Callithrix jacchus: one gene and its partners. The protein of the gene in region 6 purifies or fractionates together with the protein of the main gene of each other region. This does not show direct contact. Links are inferred from orthologs where the notes say so. Each region holds a gene or a part of one and is shown on either strand. Other genes may lie near its edges.

What was found.
Region 1: the proteins of DIS3L (region 6) and EXOSC5 purify together in Homo sapiens (affinity purification with mass spectrometry; 5 studies listed by BioGRID and IntAct, with this or other methods). This does not show direct contact. The link is inferred for Callithrix jacchus from reciprocal best matches to the Homo sapiens genes DIS3L and EXOSC5.
Region 2: the proteins of DIS3L (region 6) and EXOSC6 purify together in Homo sapiens (affinity purification with mass spectrometry; 3 studies listed by BioGRID and IntAct, with this or other methods). This does not show direct contact. The link is inferred for Callithrix jacchus from reciprocal best matches to the Homo sapiens genes DIS3L and EXOSC6.
Region 3: the proteins of DIS3L (region 6) and GIGYF2 purify together in Homo sapiens (affinity purification with mass spectrometry; 3 studies listed by BioGRID and IntAct, with this or other methods). This does not show direct contact. The link is inferred for Callithrix jacchus from reciprocal best matches to the Homo sapiens genes DIS3L and GIGYF2.
Region 4: the proteins of DIS3L (region 6) and EXOSC8 purify together in Homo sapiens (affinity purification with mass spectrometry; 4 studies listed by BioGRID and IntAct, counting the BioPlex papers as one, with this or other methods). This does not show direct contact. The link is inferred for Callithrix jacchus from reciprocal best matches to the Homo sapiens genes DIS3L and EXOSC8.
Region 5: the proteins of DIS3L (region 6) and EXOSC7 purify together in Homo sapiens (affinity purification with mass spectrometry; 3 studies listed by BioGRID and IntAct, counting the BioPlex papers as one, with this or other methods). This does not show direct contact. The link is inferred for Callithrix jacchus from reciprocal best matches to the Homo sapiens genes DIS3L and EXOSC7.
Region 7: the proteins of DIS3L (region 6) and HBS1L purify together in Homo sapiens (affinity purification with mass spectrometry; 5 studies listed by BioGRID and IntAct, with this or other methods). This does not show direct contact. The link is inferred for Callithrix jacchus from reciprocal best matches to the Homo sapiens genes DIS3L and HBS1L.

What each region holds. Positions count from the first base shown.
Region 1 is NC_133523.1:36,660,716-36,664,215, reverse strand, and holds the end of EXOSC5 (exosome complex component RRP46), read left to right. Parts: intron 1-1,160; coding exon 1,161-1,250; intron 1,251-2,310; coding exon 2,311-2,413; intron 2,414-2,717; coding exon of another isoform or gene 2,718-2,755; coding exon 2,756-2,967; 3' UTR 2,968-3,111; downstream 3,112-3,500. UniProt on the Homo sapiens protein: Non-catalytic component of the RNA exosome complex which has 3'->5' exoribonuclease activity and participates in a multitude of cellular RNA processing and degradation events.
Region 2 is NC_133521.1:31,651,766-31,655,707, forward strand, and holds EXOSC6 (exosome complex component MTR3), read left to right. Parts: upstream 1-1,142; 5' UTR 1,143-1,187; coding exon 1,188-2,003; 3' UTR 2,004-3,666; downstream 3,667-3,942. Other genes in the region: AARS1 (alanine--tRNA ligase, cytoplasmic), read left to right, coding at 215-400. UniProt on the Homo sapiens protein: Non-catalytic component of the RNA exosome complex which has 3'->5' exoribonuclease activity and participates in a multitude of cellular RNA processing and degradation events.
Region 3 is NC_133507.1:154,063,576-154,067,740, forward strand, and holds the start of GIGYF2 (GRB10-interacting GYF protein 2), read left to right. Parts: upstream 1-1,365; 5' UTR 1,366-1,427; intron 1,428-4,165. UniProt on the Homo sapiens protein: Key component of the 4EHP-GYF2 complex, a multiprotein complex that acts as a repressor of translation initiation. In the 4EHP-GYF2 complex, acts as a factor that bridges EIF4E2 to ZFP36/TTP, linking translation repression with mRNA decay.
Region 4 is NC_133506.1:156,216,188-156,220,411, forward strand, and holds the start of EXOSC8 (exosome complex component RRP43), read left to right. Parts: upstream 1-1,424; 5' UTR 1,425-1,444; coding exon 1,445-1,461; intron 1,462-3,191; coding exon 3,192-3,228; intron 3,229-3,422; coding exon 3,423-3,486; intron 3,487-3,876; coding exon 3,877-3,950; intron 3,951-4,224. Other genes in the region: ALG5 (dolichyl-phosphate beta-glucosyltransferase), read right to left, coding at 231-296. UniProt on the Homo sapiens protein: Non-catalytic component of the RNA exosome complex which has 3'->5' exoribonuclease activity and participates in a multitude of cellular RNA processing and degradation events.
Region 5 is NC_133516.1:27,738,231-27,741,730, forward strand, and holds part of EXOSC7 (exosome complex component RRP42), read left to right. Parts: intron 1-2,314; coding exon 2,315-2,480; intron 2,481-3,500. UniProt on the Homo sapiens protein: Non-catalytic component of the RNA exosome complex which has 3'->5' exoribonuclease activity and participates in a multitude of cellular RNA processing and degradation events.
Region 6 is NC_133509.1:13,371,282-13,374,781, forward strand, and holds part of DIS3L (DIS3-like exonuclease 1), read left to right. Parts: intron 1-1,244; coding exon 1,245-1,492; intron 1,493-2,050; coding exon 2,051-2,143; intron 2,144-3,500. UniProt on the Homo sapiens protein: Catalytic component of the RNA exosome complex which has 3'->5' exoribonuclease activity and participates in a multitude of cellular RNA processing and degradation events.
Region 7 is NC_133505.1:141,717,387-141,720,886, reverse strand, and holds part of HBS1L (HBS1-like protein), read left to right. Parts: intron 1-1,455; coding exon 1,456-1,564; intron 1,565-3,497; coding exon 3,498-3,500. UniProt on the Homo sapiens protein: GTPase component of the Pelota-HBS1L complex, a complex that recognizes stalled ribosomes and triggers the No-Go Decay (NGD) pathway.

The DNA of each region.
Region 1 (3,500 bases), on a different chromosome or scaffold from region 6:
GCCGAGGCAGGTGGATCACGACCATCCTGGTCAACACGGTGAAACCCCGTCTCTACTAAAAATACAAAAAATTAGCTGGGCCTGGTGGCGCGTGCCTGTAATCCCAGCTACCTGGGAGCCTGAGGCAGGAGAATTGCCTGAACCCAGGGGGCGGAGGTTGCGGTGAGCCGAGATCTCGCCATTGCACTCCAGCCTGGGTAACGAGCGAAACTCCGTCTCAAAAAAAAAAAAAAAAATTAGCCAGGCATGATGGTGCACACCTGTTGTAGTCCCAGCTGGTGGGGAGGCTGAGGCAGTAAGGCTTGAGGTCAGCCTGGCCAACATGGTGAAACTCTCTCTCTACTAAAAATATAAAAATTAGCCAGGCGTGATGGCATGTGTCTGTAATCCCAGCTACTCAGGAGGCTGAGGCAGGAGAATTGCTTGAACCCAGAGGGCAGAGGTTGCAATGAGCTGAGATTGTGCCACTTTACTCCAGCGTAGGCAAGTGTGAAACTCCATCTCAAAAAAATAATGAAATAAAACCAGGACCATCAGGATGTCCTCGCTTCACTTCTCGTCCCTGCCTTTCTCAGCTTCATTCTCCGTGGCTAGCATCTTTCCTGAGGCTGGGACTGACCCCGTAAGCTCCCAGTTTCCATCTTAAGAGGCTCAAAAGCAAACATCAGCTCAGGCTCAGTGTCTGAGCTCAGGTTATTCTGTGTTGTCTGCCCAGTGCTCTCATGGTTTCCTCCAATCCAGAAGGCAGAAACCATGTGGAGGGCTTGAGATGGGGGGAGCTGTTGCATTTTTTGGCAGTTGAGATGGAGTCTCGCTCTGTTACCCAGGCTGGAGTGCAGTGGCGTGATCTTGGCTCACTGCAACCTCCACCTCCCTGGTGCAGGCGATTCTCCTGCCTCAGCCTCCTGAGTAGCTGGAACTACAGGCACACACCACCACGCCCAGATCATTTTTGTATTTTTAGTAGAGATGGGATGCTCTACCCTTCTAACCCCATAGAAGGGTGACTGTCTCTCTTGACCTTGTGATCTGCCTGCCTCGGCCTCCCAAAGTGCCAAGATTATGGTCATGAGCCACTGTGCCTGGCCAAGGGACTGGCTGAGATTTTATCTGAAGGGAGGGTCCTAGGTCTCCCACTACCTTCTTCCCCTCGTCCCTAGGAGGCCCGGGCAGTCCTGACCTTCGCCCTGGACAACGTGGAACGGAAGCTGCTCATGTCCAGCACCAAGGGGCTCTTCTCGGACGCTGAGGTACCAGCATGGGGATGAGGGCAAAAGCCAGAGCCTTCCCTCCCACCGACATGCAGTCTTGTCCCAACTCTACCCCGGATTCTGAGAGGGTTCAGGAGAGCCGCTTGCATTTCTGCTTGTAAAAAACAGAGTTTTCAAACTTTGTGGTCCCAGAAACCTTTGTGGAAATGTTTAAGGGAAGCCCAATTTATGGGACAGGCAAAAAGAGGCTGAGCTCAGTTTAAAGTCAGAAGATGGCCAGGCATGAGCCCACTGGTACACACCTGTGATCCAAGCACTTTAGGAGGCTGAGGCGGGTGGCTCACGAGGTCAGGAGATTGAGACCATCCTGGCCAACGTGGTGAAACCCTGTCTCTACTAAAATTAAAAAAAAAGAAACTTTAGCCGGGTGTGATGGCACATGCCTGTAGTCCCAGTTACTCAGGAGGCTGAGGCAGGAGAATCACTTGAACCCAGAAGGTGGAGGTTGCAATGAGCTGAGATTGCACCACTGCACTCCATCCAGCCTGGCAACAGAGCAAGACTCCATCTCAAAAATAATTAATTAATAAATAAATACATACATAAATAAGGCTGGGCGCAGTGGATCACGCCTGTAATCCCAGCACTTTGGGAGGCCAAGGTGGGTGGATCACGAGGTCAGGTGATCCAAACCATCCTGGCTAACAGTGAAACCCTGTCTCTACTAAAAATACAAAAAATTAGCTGGGTATGGTGGCACGCAGCTATAATCCCAGCTACGGGAGGCTAAGGCAGGAGAATCACTTGAACCCAGGAGGCAGAGGTTGCAGTGAGCCAAGATCGTGCCACTGCACTCCAGCCTGAGCAACAGAGTGAGACTCAATCCTCAAAAAAATAAGAATAAAAAAATAAAGTCAGAAGATGAGGGCACATGATGGTCCCCCAGCTCCTAGCTCAGAGTGGTAAGCCACCAAAATTCCAGGTCTCAGGCTAAGGGACAGAAGCTTGGAAACTGCAAAAGCACGTCCAACCTGGACCTTATGAATCTAGGAATACATGGCAGGAAAGACTGGGAGTCTCTTGATTCCATGGCTCTTAGGTTATTCGGGGTCAAGGGGCCCATGACTGTAAACTCCCAAGACCACTCCAATTCTGCACTTTCTCCAGTTCCCTAGCTCTGCAAAGCTGGGGCCTCTTCCAAGGTAGGAGAGGATGCCTGATTGGTCTGAGTCCTGTTGCTGTCAGAATCTTACCCCTGAAGCCCTCACCCTCTCTTTATTTCTCCTGATCTCTAAGAAACGGCTCGTGAAGTGGGAGATAATGCCTCACCACCTGTCTCACTTGGGGGCGGGGGAGTGATGGGAGGTGAAGGGGGAGGTGGTGGGTTTGGGGGGCGAAGGGAGGCAGGTGGGGGTCAGCAAAACCTCTTGCATCAGCCCCGTCATGGTGTGTGTGTGTGTGTGTGTGTGTGTGTGCGCGCGCGCGCGCGCGCGTGCGCGCGCACAGGTCTCAGCCCCCAGCACCAACCAGTCTCTCCCCCGAAGCTCCAGCAGTGCCTGGCCGCGGCCCAGGCGGCTTCGCAACACGTCTTCCGCTTCTACCGGGAATCGCTGCAGAGGCGTTACTCCAAGAGCTGAGACAAGCTGGGGCAGGGGGCCACTCCCTCTGCCTCCACCCACCCACCCACCCGCTACAGCCTGAAGCAAACCAGCGGCCCAGCCTTGCCTCTCTGTCCTATGGGCTCATAGGACAGTGAGCCTGCAGCCATGTTACCATAGGGGCTCCTGCAGGGAGGCCTTGGCCCCTGACAGTCCCCAGGCTTGGGGACACAGATCCCTGCCCAACAAGGAGTTCACATTTATGGAATGGATGAGTCAATAAATTAATTCATTTTAACACATCTGTGGAGTACCCAATGTCTGCAGGCCCTGCTAGTGAGATCCCAGAGGAGCACGCAGCTGAGCTGGTATTTGCCAGACGGTACTAAATCTATGAAAAAAATAAAACCAGCCGGGCACAGTGGCTCACGCCTGTAATCCCAGCACTTTGGGAGGCCGAGGCAGGTGGATCACGAGGTCAAGAGTTCGAGACCATCCTGGTCAACATGGTGAAACCCTGTCTCTACTAAAAATACAAAAAATTAGCTGGGCATGGTGGTGCGTGCCTGTAATCCCAGCCACTCAGGAGGCTGAGGCAGGAGAATTGCCTGAACCCAGGAGGCGGAGGTTGCGGTGAGCCAAGATCGTGCCATTGCACTCCAGTCTGGGTAACAAGAGCGAAACTGCATCT
Region 2 (3,942 bases), on a different chromosome or scaffold from region 6:
TTCTCATTGGTGAAGATGTCTGGTTGATACTTGGCTTTGCCACTCTGTCCTTTCCTGGCTGTGGCTATGACTTCCCCCTTTACCAGCTGTTAAGCGTGTCTCGGCTGCCAGCATCACCACCCTGGGCAGGAGTGGGGGATGGCTCCTGCATTTCTTTTCCTCCATTCCTCATTTATCTTGTGTCCTAACTCCCCCTTCCCTTCTTTTCTTCCAGAATGCAGCCAATAGGGGCCTAAAAGCCAGCGAGTGGGTGCAGCAGGTATCAGGCCTGATGGATGGTAAGGGTGGTGGCAAGGATGTGTCTGCGCAGGCCACAGGCAAGAACGTTGGCTGCCTGCAGGAGGCGCTGCAGCTGGCCACTTCCTTTGCCCAGCTGCACCTCGGGGATGTGAAGAACTGAGGTGGGGAAGGAGGAGTTTGGCACTGGATCCATAGGTCCAGCCAGGAGTTCCTCCTCTGCTCTAAGAACATTAGAATCTTGGGACCTTTAAAGAGCTCCCACCATCTTCCTAACCCCACGGTAACTGGAAGAGGTCCTGTGACCCAGTATTCCTTATATGTCTGCCCTGAGTACCCCAGCATTGCTGTTGTGCATCGATAGGCATCTGGAGCGGACAGCTCTCCAGACCTGAGCTGTCTGGGTTAGCAAATGGGAATCATTTTCGCTGCAGAGAATAAAGGACCATGTGCAATAATTGACGCCGCAGGATCTCTACCCATTCCCAATGGGGGCGCGCCGTTTCCACAGCCTGTGGCCCCTGCTGTCTAGAATAAATGCTGTGACTCCTGCTGGCTGCTGCTGTATTCACTGTCTAGCCCCAGAACTCTGAATTTTGGGAGTAGCCCCTGTGGTTGCCTCAACCGTTTGTGGCGATGGAAGCCAAATAGGTGACATAGAGGGAGGTGTTCATAATTCAACAGAAAATGAGGGGTGGAAGCAGAGAAGCCTCTTTCTTCTAACTGCCGCCCCCCGCCCCCGTTGTATGTATGAACGCCACATGCCCTGCACTAGCGGCACCAAGGCTTTGAGGACGCCGGCCGTTCTCCCTCCAGGCCTTCAGAGGGCGCTATAGCGAAGCCGGCTGCTCCCCGACATCCTTCGCGCAGGCGCGCATCTTTAAGCAGCGGAAGAGCTGGTGTGCGTGGTGGAGCAGCGGCCGGAAGCAGGTCGCACGCCAGGCGCCGTGATGCCTGGGGACCACCGCCGTATACGCGGCCCGGAGGAATCACAGCCGCCGCAGCTGTACGCGGCCGACGAAGAGGATGCGCCCGCCGCTCGCGACCCGACGCGGCTGCGACCCGTGTACGCTCGCGCGGGGTTGCTGAGCCAAGCCAAGGGCTCAGCCTACCTGGAGGCAGGAGGCACCAAGGTGTTGTGCGCGGTGTCGGGCCCGCGCCAGGCCGAGGGCGGCGAGCGCGGGGGCGGCCCGGCCGGAGCGGGTGGCGAGGCCCCGGCCGCGCTGCGTGGTCGACTGCTCTGCGATTTCCGCCGCGCCCCCTTCGCGGGGCGCCGGCGCCGCGCTCCCCAGGGCGGCGGTGAGGAGCGTGAGCTGGCGCTGGCGCTGCAGGAGGCGCTGGAGCCAGCGGTGCGCCTGGGCCGATACCCGCGTGCACAGCTCGAGGTGTCTGCGCTGCTGCTGGAGGACGGGGGCTCAGCCCTGGCCGCCGCGCTCACCGCCGCTGCGCTCGCCCTGGCCGATGCGGGCGTGGAGATGTACGACCTGGTGGTGGGCTGCGGCCTGAGCCTCGCTCCGGGGCCCGCGTCCACCTGGCTACTGGACCCCACGCGGCTCGAGGAGGAGCGCGCCGCCGCCGGTCTCACTGTGGCACTCATGCCCGTCCTGAATCAGGTGGCTGGGCTGCTGGGTAGCGGGGAGGGTGGCCTGACCGAGAGCTGGGCGGAGGCCGTACGCCTTGGCCTCGAGGGCTGCCAGCGCCTCTATCCAGTGTTGCAGCAGTGCCTGGTGCGGGCTGCCCGTCGCAGGGGCGCCGCCCCGCCCTGAACAACGACGGACGCCACGCCGAGACCCGTGCCGTGGGCCTCGAGCCTGCATCGAGATATGCAGCAGGAGCCCCGGAGAGCACCTGGAGAGGCTGAAACAGAGCCGAGGCGCCAGACAGCTGTGGTGGTGGAAGGGCTTTTTACAAACCTCATTAAAGGAACTTTCCTCCTTTAGCCGGCTCTCAGCTGCGACCCAGTTGAGAACACCTGTGAGCGCAGCCTGACTTCCAGGCTGGAAACTTGGAACTTACCTGGAAGCTGGTATCTGGGAACTGTAGTCATTTAAGGGATAGATCCTTTGCACCGCCAGCCAGAGACTCCCTCTGACGTAACTGGGCGACTTTTGAGAGGTTGGACAAGAGGCTGTGCCTTCTCACCGTGTCTGAGCCAAAAGAAAAACACTTCTATATCTGAAAAGCGTCTTCTGTTGTGATTCTTCTTGGTCCAGGATTTTAGAGAGCACGGCTTCTTTGTTCTTACATCCCAGGTGGCAAGGGGCCGTGACCGCGGTGCCTTTAACCGGTCCCGTTCCTTAGACCAACTTGAACGGGACAGATAGGCTGCAAAGAACAGCTGCAGGACTGGATGTGGGCCCTGTGCTTTATAGAAGGAGAAGCTGCCCCCACACGAACCAGAGACAGGACAGCTGCTGAGATATGACAAAAGTAGGAAGAGTTGTATGGCCCCAGCGGCGCGCTGAGTGCACCCCAGCCCCCCACCCTGGTTTGGTACTGGGCAAGACCCAACTCGGCTGGGTAGCTGGAATGGGTTTTGCTCTGGGTGGAAGCCAGATCTGTCCTTGGCCATGTGGAGAACGGCACAACCAGAGGCCTCCACAGCCGGTGGGAAGTGGTGTCCTGGGCCGTCTTCACGTGGTGCCTTGGTCCTAGGAGGAAAACCCTGAGCAACGCCCAGAGAGGGCAGGTGAACTGCCAGGAAAGCCAGGTACGGCTTGGCTGCTCCATAGGGCAGAACCGGCCTGACTCACCACGAGGGTGGGGTCTTTCCTGTGTGGCTCCCAGATCTGCTGGTCTGGTCTCAAGGCTGCTCTGGACGCAGCCAGGTGACTGCCATTGAGAAGGCAGGGCAGCCTGGTCCGGTCTCTGCACTCGGCTTCTCGGGGAAGGGCCGGTGCCGGGCAGCCCAAGGACCAGAATGAGTTTCTGGAGCCACACCAAGAAGCCTTGACCAGGAAAAAGATTTATGAATTTTATTTTTTCCCTTTTGACTTACCTTTCCAGAGCAGGTCTGAAATGGTATCACACCAGTGGAGACAGCTCATGTTATTCTGAAGGATGGCTTTGGAGAGTGGATGACGAGTCTGGAGCCCCAAGAGGGTGGTGTGGGGTGTACGCCGAGGACCTTCCGGCTGTTTCGGGCAGGGAGGGAGACTGGGATCCCAGGGAAATCTGTTGGCTGTTGGTGCATCCAGAGGGGAGTGAAGAGCAGCTGTGGCCGTGTCTGCACTCAGGACTGAGGATTGCCCCTGAGTGCTGGGGTGGGGTGGGGGTGGGCTGTCAGCTGTCCCTTGGAAGACAGCCTCAGCTTCATGAGGATGGCGACCTGGTACAGTCCCAGGCTACCTCCCTCCTAACGCTGTCAGTCCCATGGCTGTCATCGTGAAATGTAACCTCCTAAGAAGCTAAACCTGCTGCAACAGTGAACCTTCCGCTTTTCTGGCCAAGCCCTGTGTTCTCTTCTATTGACCCAGCTCCAGAACGGGTATCTCAGGTTGCATGGGTGCTACCAGGAGGCCTTCACAACCTAGGCAAGGCAAGGACCTACCCCAGAACGCCCGGAGCTGATGAGCCTGGAGGAGATCCTGCTTCCTCTTGGCTGTCCTGGTCCTATGCGTGGTCCTCCACCTGTAGGGAAAGTAGAAGCAGGACGTTAGTGGAGGGGCAGGAGGCATGGGCTAGGAAAGGAGGGGCCCACAGCAC
Region 3 (4,165 bases), on a different chromosome or scaffold from region 6:
GGAAGTCAAGCTGAGGACTGAAAGACTCAATATTATCAACATTGTTACCAACCTGTAAGATGGGGTGTTTTCAGGGTAAGCAATAGGCAGATAGGAAAAGACAGAAGCCACCTTGGAGTGGTTGATGATTGCATGTCAGATGTGGCAATGGAGAAAGTGCATATAAACAATTCTTTGGTGCAGCTTGGCTGTGAAAGGGAACAGGGTCACAAGAGGTAGCTGGAGGGAGAATTGGAGGGTTTTTTTTTTGAGACATAGTCTTGCTTTGTTGCCAGACTGGAGTGCATTGGTGCGATCTCAGCTCACTGTAACCTCCGACTCCCTAGGTCAAGTGATTCTCCTGCCTCAGCCTCCCAAGTAGCTGGGATTACAGGGACGGGTCACCATGCCCTTTCTGGGATTTTTAGTAGAGGCGGGGGTTCCACCATGTTGGCTAAGATGGTCTCGATATCCTGACCTGGTGATCTGCCCGCCTCAGTCTCTCAAAGTCTCGGGATAACATGCATGAGCCACTGCGCCCTGCCAGAACTGGAATTTTTAACATTCCATTTTAAGATGGGAGACACTTTAAAGCTGACAGAAAGGCTCCTGTAGGAAGGAAGAAGTTGAAGACACAGGCAAGAATGGGATGCCTAAGGATAGAGTTGCTAGATTTAGCAAACACAGGACGCCCAGTTAAATTTGAATTTCAGAAAAACAACGACCAGTTTTTTTTAGTGTTTGCCCCAAATATTGCTGGGTGTCTTGTATTTTATCTGTCAATTCCAGAATAGTTCATCTCTAGGTAAAGAGTTATAGCCCCGGATGTCCTAGGAAGGAGTTGCAGCTCTAGAGTCTTTCCTAGCTGTCCCAGTGCAACACTCTGCAGAACTATCAACAAGTAGAGAAACTGCTTTGAATGTCAGCTTTTGCGGCTTTTCCATTCGCTCTAGGATGGCAACTGGACAGGAAAATGCTGGACTAAAAGTGTGGAAAAGTTCTAATTTGAAAAACCGGCCCGTAAGGGATGCAGAGGCTTTTGAACTGCAAACGGGCTCTGGATTGGGAGTACAGAACAGTGAGTCACAGGGTGGCTGGTCTGGGCCCAACTCTGGACACCAGGTCCTCTCAACTCAAGGGCAGGTACCTAGCAGCAGTCGAGGGGTCAGCGGGCGCCTGCGCACTGCCACGGCCCCGCCCTCTTCCAGGCTTTCATCCGGGTCTCTGGCAGGGGCGTGTCTGGGCAGAGGGGCCGGTGGCTACGGAAAGGAAGGATGTCGTGGGAGACTGGAGAGTGGGGAGGGAAGCGGGAAGGGGCGGGGGCGGGGCAAGAGGCGTGGCCGAGCGAACGCGCGGTCACGTGATGCGCGTGGCGACGTGTCGGCCATCTTGTGTTGTTGAGGCTGAGGACTGACTTGGGTTCTGAGACTCCCTGTCCCGGACCGCAGGTAACCAGCCATTCCGTGTAGCTCCCCTGCCCGGCTCTGCCCCGCGCCCCGGCCCCGCCGCGGCGTCCTGGGCCGCCCGTGCCTCTGACCCGGGCTTGCGTCCCCGTCGATCCTACCCGAGCCGGCTCGGCCGCATGGACACCCACAGGCCGCTCCGGCCGGCTTGGGCCGTCAGGCGAAGGGACAGGTCAGGTGCGGGGCCGGAGGGAGCCTCCTCCTGGGCGAGGGGCGCTGAGGGCCCTGGCGCGTCACGGCCGCGGGGAGCCGAGGAGCCCCTCGGCCAGGGCCTCTTGGCATTGCTAGGGCAGCAGAACAAGGCAGGAGGGTGGTGGGGCAGTCAGGCCGGCTTGTTCGGAGCCCGAGGGCTTGCCTTCCTCTGCCTACTTCTGCGGGCCAGTCACCCGCTCAGCCTCGGGGTGCCCCGGTAACAGCTGCTGCGATCAGACAGCTGCTCCTGCCGGCTCCGTTGTCCACACCTGGCCCCTGGGAGGTGCGCTTCTGCCTTCCCCGCGGAGCATCTGGACGGAGGCAACTCCTTCGTTGGCGAGAGTACTGGGTCTGGACCAGGCCTGAGGCGAGGTGGAGCCACCATGATCGGAACCTTGGGACTGTGGCTAGGAAAGTAGAGCCCAGGGCAGCTTTGGGGACCCAGATGTTCACAACAGGTTGAAATAGGCATTAGCCTTAAGTGTCAGCAGTTTCCAAAACCACTCTAAATACTTGTTTTGCGACTGAAACATAAATCCAGCGAACAGGGAATGGGGTCATGAAAGAAGCGGAGTGTATGACCGTGTTTGAGAAGCAATAACGTTGCTTTGCAGTTAGTTACCTAGTGCTGTGTTTTTTATTTTGTTTTCGTTTTCCTGCAAGTCAGAGCACTTAAACACATGTAGTCTCTCTGTAAGAAAGGTAAGTATTCCAGTTTAACTTTCAAGAAATTCAGTAGGGGGCCAGAACCTGTGAACAACTTCCTATCTAGTGCCTTGAATTAAGGCAGTTTTGAGTCCCAGTGTTGTGTTTGGGGAAGATATTCTTTCCTTATATAGTATTTCCTTTTTAGAATCAAATGACCTCCTAGATTAGAAAAAATTTTTTTCCTTCTTTCTGTACATTAAGTTTGATCCTTCTAATATTTGTAGATTTGACCTTAACAGACTTTGTCCGTTTTGCCTAGAACACAAATGCTTGCTGTCATTCATGGATGGTTTTACGCGTTTTACTAGTTGGTATAGCAGTGTTTGGCGTGCTCAAACTGGAATGTGTACTTCTCTTTTATATCAGATGTTGACATCAGAAGAGGACACTAGACAAGTATTTAAAAGTGGCACGTAACTGGAAAAACGTCACATGATCTTTCTTTTGAAATTTAACATCAAGGAATACACTGGTGATGGTAGTGATTCACTAGAAAGGAGAAGGCTTCATTCCTTTTTGATACCTGACAAAGCATTTGGGAGTCTTGGGGAGGAAGAAGGGACCATGTGCTTTCGTTCATTCATTTATTCATTCATGCATTCATTTATTTGACAGATACCCTATTGAGCATTGACTACACCGTTATGTGCTGGGAGCAAAACAGACCAAGTAATTCCTGTCTGTATGGAATTCATTTCTAGACAGATAAATAGGTAAAATACATGGTGTAGTGTTAAGTGAGGTGAAAGAAAAAATGAGTCAGGGAGATAGGGCAATACGATTTGGGGAGGGGTTCATTTTAAGTGCCCTGAGAAGGCCTCATGGAACAGTTAACATTGTAGCAAAACCCCGCAGAGGTGAAGATGCTGTTTCTTTAGCTCTACAGGGGGAAGAGTCCTCCAGCAAGCTGCTAGGGAGCAGTAAGAGCAAAGACGCGGACCCAAAAACTTGGCTGGGAGCGACTCAGGAGTAGACTGGGAAAAGCATGGAGGGTGGCCTAGGCTAAGAGGCAAGGGCGAGACAGAGACTAGTAAGGAGATGTGTGTACTTGCCTCTGTAGTACTAAGATGAGATGGATTATTTGCTATCCTGAATTATTTTTCCTTATTTCTTATGATTCTTAGAAAGGGAAATCAGATTCTGGAGATTTGGGCCAGCGGCCTCGCCAACCCCCATCCCCTATGTAATTCCCTTCTCCACTGGTATTTGGAAAAATTTAAGATGCTCAAATATTTCAGGAAATTATAATGAATTACCTTTCTCAAAAATAAACATTTTAAAATGAGATTGATGATAAATTGCTTGAGAGTACTTTTCAAAAGCAGTTGCCTTCTAAGAAGGGGGATATTTGGAAATTTCAGGATATTTGAAAATGTAGGGAAATGAGAAATTTTCCTTTGACATTTAGACACATAGTTAAGGAACATAACCAGGTAGAAAGGTGGAATCAGTGTAGTAACTCAAATTATCCTTAATCTGGTTAGTAAAGAATTTCTGTTAATACTGTGCTGTCCAGCGCAGGGACTCTTCCTGTAAGTCATGTGCGTATCCTTTAGAACATTGAACATGTGTAGAACTTTTTGGTTTTTTATTCCTCTACTTTTACCTTTCAGACTAGTTATCTTAATCGGATGCTTAATAGACATATTTTTCTTGTAAAAAACATTTTCTGATTTCCTTCCAATTTATCTCTATATTCTTTTTACTGAGCTTTCACAAATGTCCTCTTTCATTTTAGTTCAGCTGAGGAATTTTAGTATTTTGATTTTGAAATGCTTTTGCTGCTGAGAGGCATATGTGAAAAACATTTTGGAGTAAGTTTG
Region 4 (4,224 bases), on a different chromosome or scaffold from region 6:
AATCTCTGGGCACACAAAGAGATAAGGTGCCGAGCGAAAATTAAAGAACCGAAGAAAAAGGGGAGTGAAATTCCAAGAAAGGAAACTCAGGTCAGGAATTCGGGGGAAGCTAGGGGAAAGAAAGACAAGTCAGCGAATGGGTGGCGCGGAGGAGGGGACGCCGGAGGAGCCGCAGTCTCCAGGAAAGCGCTGAGCCCCGGCCCGCGCCGGTCCCCAGCCTCTGTTCTCACCAGTACGAGGGCTGCGGCCACAAGCGCCGCACCGAGCACCGCCAGCTGCAGCAGGAGCGGAGCCATCCTCCATGCCGGGGCCGCCGGCCCTATCCGGCAGCTACACACACGCGGAAGCGCGACCCGGCCCCGCAGCCAGAGAGGCCTCGCCCGCCGGCCGCAGCACCCCCGCGTGGCGAGGCGGAGAACCTGCCGCTCTCGAGCGCTCGGCGCCCAGGCGGTGGAGAGACGCGCTAGGTTCCTTAGCACCGCGCCAGGTTAAGCAAGTGTGCAAGATGCCTACTTAATTTGAATTTCAGATTAAAAAAGAAAACTAATCTTTTTTTTTTTTTAACAGCCTTATCAAGATATTTACATACTACACAACTCGTCCAGTTAAAGGCTTCTGGTCTATTACATTAGTTTTTATAAATTGTGGTAAAATAAAACAAAAGTTACCATTTTAATCATTTTAACTTTACAATAGTGAGTGGCATTAAATACATTCACAATGCGGTGCAACCATCACCATCTGTCTGTAAAGCCTTTCCAGCTCCCTCCAGGTTCTGGTAACAACTAATTGCATGCTCTATTTGGGGCATCCTTATGCTAAAAAAAAAAAAAAAAAAAAATGCTGTTTATCAGACATTCAAATTTAACTTGGTATCCTGTATTTTATCTGGTAACCTCACGGCGGAGAGAGATGGCAGCCTTAAGCACGACACAGTCTACAACACAAGCTGACGGTTAGGAGCCAGCTCCAGGACCTGCAGAGCAGAACGTGGTGCGGATAATGAGAGCAAAAAAAGTTCAGATTTCTCAACGTGCTGGAGCAGGGAGCCTTGACCAGGGAAGAAGCACGGTCAGGGCACAGCGTAAGTCACAGGCGGAAAAAAGACGCAGAAACATTGGAATAACGCGCTATACGCAATGCTTGATTCTTCGCTGGAAACCTATTTTCTCCGAAATATTGGCCTTATTCTGAGTGACAGCACCAGCTTTTTTATAGGACACCTTCTCCTTCTCTAACAGCAGATTCGTCAAATTCGTCCAAGCAAGGAAACCTAGAAGGGCGTCTGGCCAGGACAAAGTCTAAGCCAAGGCGGGCCTTTCGTCGCGTCCCCGCCTTGGCGTTTCCTGTGGCGTGAGCAGCCCGGGCATCCATGTCGAAAGTGCGGTGGCGGAACAGGCGAGCAGGCGAAGAGCGGCGCAGGCGCAGACGCGCGGGCGGGAAGATGGCGGCTGGGTTCAAGTGAGTGTTGGCGGCTGGAGGGCCGAGTTCTATACCCTGGCCGACGACGGCTTCCTTTAACTCTTAGCTGAGATTCTCTCACCTGGAGGCCGACCCTTTTGGAGTGCCATTTCCTTCCTTGTCGAAGCAGGCGACGGGCGGGAGGACCTGGAGGTGGTCGTAGTGAAAAGAAAGGGCTTCTTTCCCCTGGCGAAACGGGAGATGAAAGGACTGTAGAGTTCCGTACCCGCTGCGAGCGCTCATGAGCGTGGTGTGTAGTGAACGTGCAGTCCCAGGAGACATAGATGTAATCTTTTAAAGATTGTGGCCTGGCGCGGTGGCTCACGTCTGTAATCCCAGCACTTTGGAAGGCCGAGGCGGGAGGATCGGAGTTCGAAACTAGCCTGCTCTACATGGTGAATCCCTGTCCCTAATAAAAATATAAAAATTAGCCGGGCGTGGTGGCTGGAGCCTGTAATCCCATCTACTTGGGAGGCTAAGGCAGGAGAATCGCTTGAACCCGAGAGGCGAAGGTGGCAGTGAGCTGGGATCACGCCCCTGCACTCCAGCCTGGGCGACAAGAGTGAGACTCTTGTTTCAAAAAATAAATAAATACGAATACATAAAGATTGGTGCGTCAGAGCCACATACCGCCTGGTTCTCCCTCTCTCGTAATTTATTTCTAAAAGAATCATGCCTCGTTCGGAACGTTTTTGTGTGTGTAGCCTATGGACTTTCTTAAAGTTTTAAAAAAAATGGATAAAATAGGATTCCAAAGGAAACCCATTATGTTGAAATAATTATCTATGAATAGGGCCGGGCGCGGTGGCTCACGCCTGTAATCCCAGCACTTTGGGAGGCCGAGGCGGGTGGATCACGAGGTCAAGAGATCGAGACCATCCTGGTCAACAAGGTGAAACACCGTCTCTACTAAAAATACAAAAATGAGCTGGGCATGGTGGCGCGCGCCTGTAGTCCCAGCTACTCGGGAGGCTGAGGCAGAATTGCTTGAACCCAAGAGGCGGAGGTTGTGGTGAGCCAAGATCGAGCCATTGCACTCCAGCCTGGGTAACAAGAGCGAAACTCTGTCTCAAAAAAAAAAAAAAAAAAATTATGAATATAAACTCCGAAGTCATGATATAGTAGTATATATACTTGCTTTGCTTTAAAATTTACCTTCTTAAACAGGATCTAGTGACGAGTCTAGTAGTACCTCGTGGGATTTCAAAGTAACAGCCTAAACATACAGTACACAAATGAATACATCTGTGGTCTTTGTTAAAGTTGCAGGTACTGCTAATGTTACAATCGTGTATTGCCTCCAGCCATAATTGAAGAATGTGCTAAGTGTCCGTTACAGTGAAAATAAAGATGTACCTTTTTTGTTTCCTGAGTTACCTAGTACGATCTAACTCATGTTCCCGTTTATGAAAATAATCTCTTCATGATCACTAGATCACTCTGAATCCTTGTTTCAGAGCAAGAATGACATGATTTTTCTGACACCTAGATTAATCCGCTTTTAAAGAGCTCACTCAAAGGGCTTTTAGACGCCAATCTTCTTAATCGATTACAGCAGTTAAAATAGCAATTGGATGCGATTGCTACTGCAAGGGTTTTTACTTTCTAGAATTAGATTAAAATTGTGGCAGTTTCTGCTGTATCACCATATTCTAAAGAGCTTTGCCCATTTCTGGATTTATGTTAAGATTCATCATTTATCTCAGCTATATTTTTAACATGTGTTTCAGAACTGTGGAACCTCTGGAGTATTACAGGAGATTTCTAGTGAGTAAAGTTTATGTACATGTTATGCCTTATGTTAACAATGGGCTTCTTTTAAAGATAAATTTCAAGTAATTTAAATAAATCCATTTGAAGTAACATTTAATGTGTTTCCCCTGGTGTGTGTAAAACTTGTGATAGATATGTAAAGTATGTAATAGGTAGAATCTTTTTATATAAACATTATATTTATTTAGAAAGAGAACTGCCGTCCTGATGGAAGAGAACTTGGTGAATTCAGAACTACAACTGTCAACATAGGTAAGGATGTATTTTCCACTTTCAACTGTATGATATTCCCAAGTTTTAGTCTCTGAACCACCTCAACAGTTTTTCAGCCAAATTCTCCCTGTCTAAAGGATTTGATGATTTTTTTTTTGTCAAGAAATTTTTTATCCGTACAAAAGCCCTGTAACTGAATGAAAAATTATTAACACAAATTCAAGGACAAGTGAATAATTATTTAAACACTAATTTTAAATAGTTTATATCATTTAAAATCAATTATTCCAACTTGAAATACATTTTCATAAGCAACTGACAGGTGTAGCAAGGTAATCATACACAGCAAACTAACACACTTAATGATTATGTAGATAATTTTGTAGCTGTTTTCCTTTTATTTACTTTTCATTTTGCTTATCTTTTCAGGTTCAATTAGTACCGCAGACGGTTCTGCTTTAGTGAAGTTGGGAAATACTACAGTAATCTGTGGAGTTAAAGCGGTGGGTATAAATAGGTCCTACTGAGATTTGAATTACTAAATTAGCCTCCTCTATTTATTAGATTATAATTTACACCTATAATTCGGTTGATTTGGCAGTTGGGTGTCAGTATTTAATTTCCCAAGAGTTTTCACTATGAGTGTTAGATAATTATGACCCAAGCTTAATGACAAAATACCAAAAATAGCCAGGCGCAGTGGCAGGCGGCTGTAATCCCAGCTACTTGGGAATGACTAATTGAACATTTGTCAAATGTACCAAAATGAAATAACTT
Region 5 (3,500 bases), on a different chromosome or scaffold from region 6:
ATATGTGGCCCTTTGTTCAGATACATGTAGTAACCTTACTGACCCCGGTAGGCATTTGGGTTTTCATCCTCTGAGGATGGTCTCTGAGGCCCTTTCCAGGTCTACATTTCTGTCTAAATTTGTCAGAAAGAGTCCTTGGGCTGTGAGTGCCCCAGTAGTGAAGTGGAATCCTCATTTCTCTTTGTCTTCGCCCATCGGCAGAATATGGCTTTCTTATGTTACTTAAAGCGTTGTACCCCATCCCCAACCCTGAATAATTCCCCTCCATTTTCCCAGCCTCCTCCCCAGAGTCACTGCACAACTATGGCATCATCCAGGCACAGGAGAGCTCAATGGGCTCATGAGTCTCTAAACCTTCCTCTTTGTCTGACTCCTGGCTCTTCTGGAAGATGGTGTGTGTGTGTGTGTGTGTGTGTGTGTGTGTGTGTGTGTGTGTGTGTGTATGTGTGTGTGTGTGTGAAGGCATTTAAAAATAGGTAAAAATTTCCACATTAGCCCAATGTCAAAAAAAAAAATTAATGGGGTATGATTTTATAGATAGACTAATGTAGACAGTTGGACCTGGGAAGCTCTATAAACCATCCCCCAAGGCTGTAGAAGAGTGAATGCATTAGTCCCAGAAAAATTAGTCACACCCAGCAGGATGTGTCCACTGCATTCAGGGAAAGATAAACGTTTTGAGCATAAGTATCTCTGACTGGATTTGTGTACACAGAAATCTCTGTAGATGTATTTTTAAGCACTTAAAACACAGGACTTAATATTGATTGCTTAGTGTTTAAATTAAAAACAGGTTGTGTTTTGCTGGCTGTGCAGAGTAAAAACTTGGTCCCTGGTGACTTGATTATTTCACCATAAACAAGCTGCTTTTCTTGGCTTGATGCCTGAGTCCAGCAGAGGCAGGGAACAGCGAGGTTGCTATAGCAGTAATGAAGTCTCTCTTGGGTACTTTAAAGGGGATTCTGGCTCACAGTGGTAAGGAAAGAATATATAATTAGAGAGGCAAAATTGTATGTAACAGCATAGTCTGATTATTTTAGAATTCAGTCTTTTACCTGTATTACCAAGTGAGATTTCTTTTAGTGTTATACAAATGGGATGGGCACTGCCATGGGCCTTCACACAGGTTTTGCATTGCCTAGAATCCTCCCGCCTTTCTGGCCTGACCAGCTCTGCTCATCCCAGGTTTGAGGTCTCCTGTAACCCTGAACACTAATTGACACTCTGTGCCCCTCTCCGCTTCCACCTCACTGTTTGCTGTCTATGGTGAAACTCTCCTACCTCATTGGAACTGCTGGCTTTGGGTCTGCATCTGCTTCACTCAGCCTCTGGGTGTCTGGTAGCTGGTTTAGGGCTGGGAACTTTCCATATGGGTGAGGGTCAGAAGGCTTTAATACGTGATTTCATAGAGTCCATGCTGAAACCACTAGCTTCTTACCTTTCTGGTCCTTTATTGTTATAATAAAATGATTACTATAATGTTTACTTATCTCGCATACATATTAAGGATTTGTTTGTATTAAGCCAAAACTCTCAGAAATGTCCTACTAAATACTTTGGTGTTTTTAGGTTGGCTAATGCTGAATCCTGTTAGTTTTGTTAAGGTTATTGGGCATTAAATATCAAGAAGCCAAAAAGGAGAAAAAAGTTTTTTTCTTGAAAAATACCAAATAAAGGAGGTAACCTACTACTTTTGAGCCAATAATTTTTCTTTTTCTTCAGTACAGTGATCTCTAAAGTTTATAACAAAGCTTTGACGTATATGTCTTTTAAGTCAATCCAGAGAGGATTATATATGTCTTTTAAGTCATTCCGAAAAGGTTATTGTGCTTACATTGTGGTTTTTATGTTGAAAAGTATCATAGCTCATTCTAAAGCTGTGAAACTAAAGGTGGTGTGTATGATGAAAGCTCTCTGTAACCCAGACTGCTTCATTCCCTAGGGCTCTCCGCTTCCTGGGCCTGGCAGACAAGCGTATTTATTATATGCTTGAAGATAAGACAGTTAATTATTATTGGCTGAGGTTCACATTACCATCACTCTCCTGTTTCTCTTTGGCTAAAGATGGCTTCTGTTAGAAACTCTTGGGAAATCCCATCACACACGCTGACAAATCCAGGTCCTAGTGCTGGTCTGGTTCATTACATGTTTCTGGAGGCAGGAAAGGTGGCAGATGCCATTCTTGCCTCATCTCAGTGACTTTCTGTCAAGCAGCTGGCTTTTCCAGCATTCTACAGGGAAACTGGAATAAAGCCTTGCCTCTTTGCTTTTTGCGCTTAGACTCACCCAGTTTTTTTGTTTCTGTTTTGTATAGTTCAGCCAATGCTACCCCTGAGTTTGAAGGTCGAGGAGGTGATGACCTTGGCACAGAGATCGCTAACACCCTCTATCGGATATTTAACAATAAGAGCAGTGTTGACCTGAAGACCCTCTGCATTAGTGCTCGGGAGCACTGCTGGGTTCTCTATGTGGATGTGCTGGTGAGTATCACCTTGCTGTCTGGCCATATTCTACCTATGTTGGAGACTAGTTGGCCTACTTTCCTTCTAGTGCTTTTTTCCTCTTCAGGTGAGTGATTTCAACTTATAGGGTGAGATTAGTTGGGAAAATGTGGTCTCCTATAATATTTTTTTAAAAAATTAAATACAACATAGATATAAGCAGCATATATATAATGCCATTCTATAGTAAAATTATAGTAATATCATGGTAGCACCTAAAATTGCCCATAAAAGTTGTCAGGGAAGAATGAAACGAGATGGTCTCTGAATGGTGCCAGACAGAGTTGGGGGGCAGAATTTAGACAGGTCGGTACATTGTGTGTGGAAGGATGATCAGCTCTTTACGTGCATTTTCATTTAAACCTTCTTAACCTGTTGCAAAAGGACAGTATTATATTCCCCATTTATAAGTTAGGAAACTAAGACACAGAGAGGTTAAGTAACTAGCCCAAGAGGTCTCAGCTTTCTGGTAGTGCTGTTGGATATCAAAGTCAGGTCTGTATGATGTGAATACCTTCTTTGACCTCACTGTGCCATTGCTTTTTAAACAGCTTTTTAAACCTGCTTGCCCCTGGTTTGCTGGGTGAGGCCACAGAGGCCCTGCTTCCTCCCACACAGAGCCCACTCCCTTAGGGATCTTTTTAGTCCAGCCCTTCCTTTCCTCCCTTGTACTTTGCCTCCCAAATACTCCTCTACCCATGTTTTGGCACTCAATAGTAACTTCTCTGTGTAGCTCTAATTAATTGTTTTGTTGTTGTTGTTTTTGAGATGGAGTCTTGCTCTGTCGCTCAGGCTGGAGTGCATTGGCGTGATCTCGGCCTACTGCAACCTCTGCTTCCTAGGTTCAAGTGATTTCATGCCTCAGCCTCCCAAGTAGCTGGGATTACAGGTGTGTGTCACCATGCCCAGCTAATTTTCATATTATTAGTAGAGATGGGGTTTTATCATGTTGCCCAGGCTTGTCTGGAGCTTCTGACCTCAAGTGATCTGCCAAGCTTA
Region 6 (3,500 bases):
GAAACCCTGTCTCTACTAAAAATACAAAAAATTAGCTGGGCATGGTGGCGCGCGCCTGTAGTCCCAGCTACTCAGGAGGCTGAGGCAGGAGAATTGCCTGAACCCAGGAGGCGGAGGTTGCGGTGAGCCGAGATCACACCATTGCACTCCAGCCTGTGTAACAAGAGCGAAACTCCATCTCAAAAAAAAAAAAAAAAAAAAAATTAGTGTGTGTGCTTATAGTCCCAGCTATTCGGGAGGCTGAGGCAGGAGAATCACCTGAACCCAGGAGGTGGAGGTTGCAGTGAGCCGAGATCACGCCATCGCACTCCAGCCTGGACGACAGAGTGAGACTCTGTCTCAAAAAAAACAAAAAAGTTACTTCAAACATTTTTATAGACACTGTTTTTTAATTTCTTTTTGTCATTCTCTTGGAATGTAATCCTTAAAGTGAGATTACCAAGTCAAAGGGTATAAAAGCTTTAAATAGCTTTTGATATATAGTAGCAGATTGTTCTCTAGAAAAATTGGACCCATTTGCATTGCCATAAGGAATGTCTAGGTGTTCTTATTTTCATTATACTTTTTCACAGAACAGTAAATTATTTTAGAATATTTTACCTCATTAAATTTTTATATTTAACATAAGTTTCTGGAAATTATTTGTTGACTTGTTTGGCAGCTCTTAGTGAAAACGTTACAATAAAATAAAGTGTGGGCTAGATATCATAGGACTGGAATTTCCTCTTCCCTTTTAGCCTACTTAACTGCAAATTGATGGCTTAAATAGATAATAGTGGAGAGAAAAATGCCCTAGATAGGTCCTGTATAAAATTATCTTTAAGGGGTAAACCTTTAATATTTGGGACATGATTATTATTTTTTCAAGGCTTAAATTTACAGCTCAACTACATTTAGACAAACAGATCGTTTGAAAATGGGCTGCATGTTGTACTCTCATTCCAAGCCCCTGTAACTAAACAGGCTGGGAGTCGTTGTGGGGCATCTTCTGTCCAACTCTATGGGTCATCAGGGGTGGGGAACTTTTTCTTGTTGACTCCTGACTTTCCAGAACCCAGCACAGTACCCAAGACGTCTGAGGCAACTAATCAACAATTATTGCTCAAAGGGAGCCAACATAGGTTGACGCAGAAGGTAATTGAGAATCAATGAATTTGTATGTGGTCACATTGAGAATATCAGAGAATGGATTTTTATAGAAATCTGTGGTGCATGAATTGCTGAATATTTGGCCTCTCATACAGATGTGTGAGATGCCAGTGAACACACCAGAAAATCCCTGGAAGGTGAGTCCTGAAGAGGAACGAGAACGTAAAGACTTGAGGAGAAGCCATCTTGTGTTCAGCATTGACCCCAAAGGTTGTGAAGATGTGGATGACACACTCTCAGTCAGAACTTTACACAATGGCAACCTGGAACTTGGGGTCCACATTGCAGATGTGACACACTTTGTGGCACCAAATTCTTATATTGATATTGAAGCTAGAACAAGGTATTATGATTTTAAATCACACTATGGTTGTGTGTATGTGACTATATTTTGTGTCTGTAATAGTTTCAGGTGTTCAAAACAAAGATCTCCTATTTGTGCAATTCTGAAGGTTTCTTCCAGAAAAAAAAAAGTTGAGGTCCACTCCCTGGTTTCCTTTAGAGAAACAGTACCTTGGTCGACTTACCTCTCCTTTTTAACATAACCTTTTCCCACGTTTCCTACTAAATTGAAATGGGTTACATTTTCATGTAGTGATATGCTGTTTTATATAAACACTGGATCATTACTCTCCAATTTTTCTTATACAATGAAGATTCATGTCACTTGCCCTTTCTTTCTCATATCAGTGGAAGAATATTCAGCCCAAAGCAGACTCACTTAGAAAAGTGGGACCATGGGAATCGTTTTATTACCCAGTCTGCTGCACTTTATGAAACAGCAGCAGCCTTGGGGAATCTGTAGTGACATTTTGGCCATTTACCTCCCTGTGGTCCACACAGTCAGCAGTTCTGCTTCTCCCCACTGAAGGTCACGTTGCCGCATGTGTATCATTCACAGGGCCACCACTTATTACTTAGCGGATCGTCGTTACGACATGCTGCCTTCCATCCTCAGTGCTGATTTGTGTTCCCTCCTGGGAGGCGTTGATAGGTGAGTTTATGGCTTTTGTCTTCAAAGCTTGTCCTGGCTCTTCTGTGGCGCCTAATGCTGCCTACTCCTGCCCTATTTTTTCTTCTGTGCTACGCCCCATCCTGGCCCTGTGTCTCCCATCTGACCTCTCAACACCACCCCCAACCCCATCCCCACACCACTTACTTTTAGGCAGCTTTATTTCTCCAGCCTTCCCTGACCTTCCTTTCCTCTCTTCCGTCTGCTAGTGGTGGGACTGCATCTCCCTCTGTTGCTGGCTTTTTAAAGTCAGTTAAAATCTGAGAACAAATGTGTGTAGCTTTGTGCTTATGCATTCCCTGGTTGAAGTTGTCTGGCATAAGGATCATTTACTTGGGAGTTTTTTGTTTCTTCATTCGTTGAGATTAAAGTTTATGTTTCTCTTTGAATAGGTAATAGAATCATATAGGGCCAAACTCATAGGTCCCAAGAGGTATTTATTGAAAGTTTCCTATCACTTTCCCTCATTTACCAGTTCTGTATTAGTTTTCCTAGACATAATACACACACAAATATATATATATGATCTTTTTTTACACGAACGGTGGCATCATATAAGATTTAGCACCTTCTTTTAAAAACAACAACAACAATGTAGGCCAGGCGCGGTGGCTCACTTCTGTAATCCCAGCACTTTGGGAGTCCAAGGTGGGTGGATCACTTGAGGTCAGGAGTTCAAGACCAGCCTGGCCAGCATGGTGAAACCCCGTCTCTACTAAAAATACAAAATTAGCCGGGCGTGGTGGCACATGCCTGTAGTCCCAGCTACCTGGAAGACAGAGGTTGCAGTGAGCCAAGATCTCGCCACTGCACTCCAGCCTTGATGACAGAACAAGACTCTCTCAAAAAAAAAAAGAAAAAGCAAAGCTGAATGGTATCTTGGAGATCATTCCATATTAATAACAGTTGCACTATCTGTGGAAATTTGGATAGTTTTCAATCCTTTGGTATTATAAACAAAGCTATACATAGTTAACTTTGAATATAAGTCATTTCACATTTTCATTTTCATTTTCGTTTTTATTGTTATTTTTTGAGACAGAGTTTCACATGTTGCCTAGGCTGGTCTTGAACTCCTGGGCTCCAGTGATCCTCCTGCCTTGGCCTCCCAAAGTGCTGGGATTACAGATGTAAGCCACCACGCCCAGCCCATTTCACACTTTTTAAAGTACAGTATATGTGAAAGAGAAATTCCCATGTGTGATTATGGGATTTCTGTGTCAAGAGTTTGTGCATTTGTGTTTGAATCAATATTATCAAATTGCCCTCCTTAAAGGTTACATCAATTATATTCCTGCCGCTAATGTATGAGAGTGCTTATTTTCCCACAGCTTTGCCA
Region 7 (3,500 bases), on a different chromosome or scaffold from region 6:
TTATCTCATTTTGGTAACTTCCGTCTTTGTTAGAATAAGCATTAGGATCTTTGGTATGGCCTAAAGGTTCTGCACTGGCTGGCCCTGCCCATCTCTCCAGCTTCATGTAGCTCCCCTTCTGCTGTCATTCCCTCTCAAGAACTGTGCTTCTTCCTACAAAAGGGCCATTATACAAGCTTCTCTTTCTGCTTGGAATGCTCCTCCTTTCTGTGCTAGTTATTATAATTTTGATTCATTTTCCCCATCATATCTCCATTTCTCACTTTCCTAGAGAAGCTCCTCTGTAAGTCATTTGCCCTATCATCAAATCTTATGGCACCATATATGGATTCTTTATAACACTAATAATAGATTTAATTGTACTTAAAAAAAATCATTTAGTATGTTTTCCCCACTAGAATGTAATTTCTCTTAGAGCAAGTGTTATGTCTGTTTTTCACCATCACATTTCCAGCATAGTGCCTGGTACATAGTAGGTAAATAGCAAATATTTTAAATGATTTTTATACATTAACTTATCTTTTCTTAATTGTTTGTGGTTTCTGTATATGTATTTACCAATGTAGCTCACGTAGTTTCCATAGTTTTATGTGGATCCAATCCTGACGGCATTCTTTCTGAAGATTATAAAGATAAATTTTTAAAAGTTGAATGAATTATGTAGGGATCAAATGCAAAAAAAAAATTTGATCTAGCTCATAATTTATTCTCCTCCTTTTTTAAGAGATGGCGTCTTGCTTTGTCACCCAGGCTGGAGTGCAGTGGTGTGATTGTAGCTCACTACAACCTTAAACTCCTGGGCTCAAACCACCTTCCACCTTAGCCTCTCAAGTAGCTGGGACTAAAAGCACTTGCCACCATGCCTGACTAATTCCCCCATGTTCTTAATTTATTTTTTCTACGTTAACCTCGTTCCCCAGGTTCTTTGTAGATATCCGTATTTTAGTAAGTCTAGTGTTGTGTGCAAGTAAAATATGTACAATATTCCAGCGTAATTTAGCAGACTCTCAACTTGTTCATCAGTTCATAAATCTCACAGGATTAAAAATAGTTTAGCCATCTGCTAACTGACCAAACAATTTTAGTATTGTGAAAGGGCGTGGTAGGAAAGGGAGATATAGGGTCTAGGTATAATGTCAGAACAAGGCTCAGTGTAGAAACTACCTTGTGACCTCTTCATACTGAAACTTAACAGTCAGTTCAAAATTAGGAAGAGATTTGGTGGAGGTTAAGCATTGGAGAGTCCTGACAATAGGGGATTTCCTAGATTAAAGAGACAGAATTTCTTTCAGCTTTAATATCTCACAAAGTTTTTTTAGAGAAAAGATAGTATGTTTATAAAGACATGAATTCTGTGAAAATTATAATCTATAATTTAAAATAGTATGTAATAGATTTCTGTATATTACTAAAGAAATTAATTAATTGGCCTTTTATATTTTACTCCTTAATTAGGAAAACCAGTAGATTCCCAGTCATCGCGAAGTGAATCTGAAATTGTGCCGAAAGTTGCCAAAATGACTGTATCTGGAAAGAAGCAAACTATGGGATTTGAAGTGCCTGGGTAAGACTTGAGTACCTCCGTCACCCCCGCCCCCATGTCCACCCCCAACCTCACGGATTGTCTCCTATTAGTCTGTAAGAAAGAGACTTTCAATTTTGCATAATGTGTCATTAGCATTGAAGTATCATATATCCTCCGTATAACATAGTACAAAGAGACAAAAGGAGAAATTAGGCTTGATTCTGGCCTTACGTATGTGTATTACTTATCCTACCTCACCATCAATTTTCTCACATAAATATTTTATAGCTACTTTAACATAAAAAAAAATCTGATTTGGTGAAACCTGGCACCGTCAGATAGGGAATTCTTATACCGCTAGGTGGCACAGGTAACCAGACTTCAGAATGAGTCAGCAAATCATGGAATCATTAGTTAAATTTTCTAATGACTGAAATATTTTTAAACTCTTTTGAATTTTCATATTGAATGAATTGGATCATTGTGGCAAACAGATGATATGAAACACACCTGGAATTTCAAATATCTTGTGAAAATGGAAGTCACCACACCTTGGTAGCTCGTGTTTGTTCTCATCACAGTCTCTAGAATCCTTCCAGGAGTTCTTAAAGACAAGGGAAGTGAGTTGCTTTGAAGCCATTAATTTTCAAGTTCTAAAATTTTTCAGAATTTTCAGTTGTTCAATAAAGCTGTTACTTATAAATTATATGTATTTTGTCTGCCAAATTGATAAAGAAACATTGTTATCAAATATAAACAATAGGTTTTTACTATAAACAATAGATTTTTATATCCTTTTTTTTCTTTCTTTTCTCCCTTTTCCAAAATTATATTTTTTAAGAAACACAAACTCAGGAGCCTTATTTTTTTCCCTTACAATATTCTTTTATCTAAATTAGTGCGGTATCATGAGTTTTGGTTGGGAAGAATGTTAATCATCACCTAGTTCAATTTTTGGATTTTATAGATTTCAAAGTCAGTGAAGGAAAGGACTCCTTCTCTAAGACATAGTACACATTCAGTATACATTAATTGAATGATTGGATGAATGAAAAATTTAATTTAATTTTTATCACCTGTTAAAATAATTTAGAATTCTGATTCAGTCTCAAAAATCTTCATGTATGTCTTTTTTCCTTCTGAATTAGGATTGGGTTATCAGAATAATTGACCTTTTTTTCCTTAATCTTGAATGCCATTTAATTCTGTTATGGGATTTTTCCATCGAGGGAGAGAGAGGAAATACATAGAATACACAAGTTATTGTTCTAAGGATTTTATATTCTTTCAAGGAAAGAATAAGTTAAGCTGGATAGTCTTGTTTCTCCTTTACATATCTGAGTTCCTCACTAGATTGTAATCTTTTGGGAGTGGTAGTTAGCTTTTTCATTTCTATGTCATTTTCTTTTCAACATCAGTCCCTAGTATATGTTGTAGTTTTTAGTAAATCGGGTGTTTGTTGAATTAATTAATTAAAGCTCCACTGTCAAAAATGTTTATGAACTGTAGTCATTTAGAGATATCTCCCCTGAGGGGGATAATAAAAAGGATCATAAGTTTATCATGTTGGAAGGATGAGTTGGGGTAAAACTATATTTTAGTACTAATTCTACTCCAGTAATATATTTGGTGCCATTTTTACAAAATATCCCCTTTATACCATTGATTTTGATAGGATGGATTATATCGCCAAGGCTTAGATTTTGAATTTCAGTTATTTTTAAAGATATTTTCTTCATACCTTCATTTTTTGGTACACTGTTTTTCTCTTGGGATCTTCCACATCTGTATTTGTGTGGTTTGAGTCTAGCTACTTATCATTTCCACCTTAACAGACTCTAGCTACTTAGCAGAGATTATTTTTGGTCTGGAGTATAAAGAATTATGAAGAAACAGTTTTTCTGCCCTTCTGACATTATAGAACATCAGTCGAGTTGGTTTAAAATGCTTTTTTCCTGTCTGCCTTCTGTAGAGT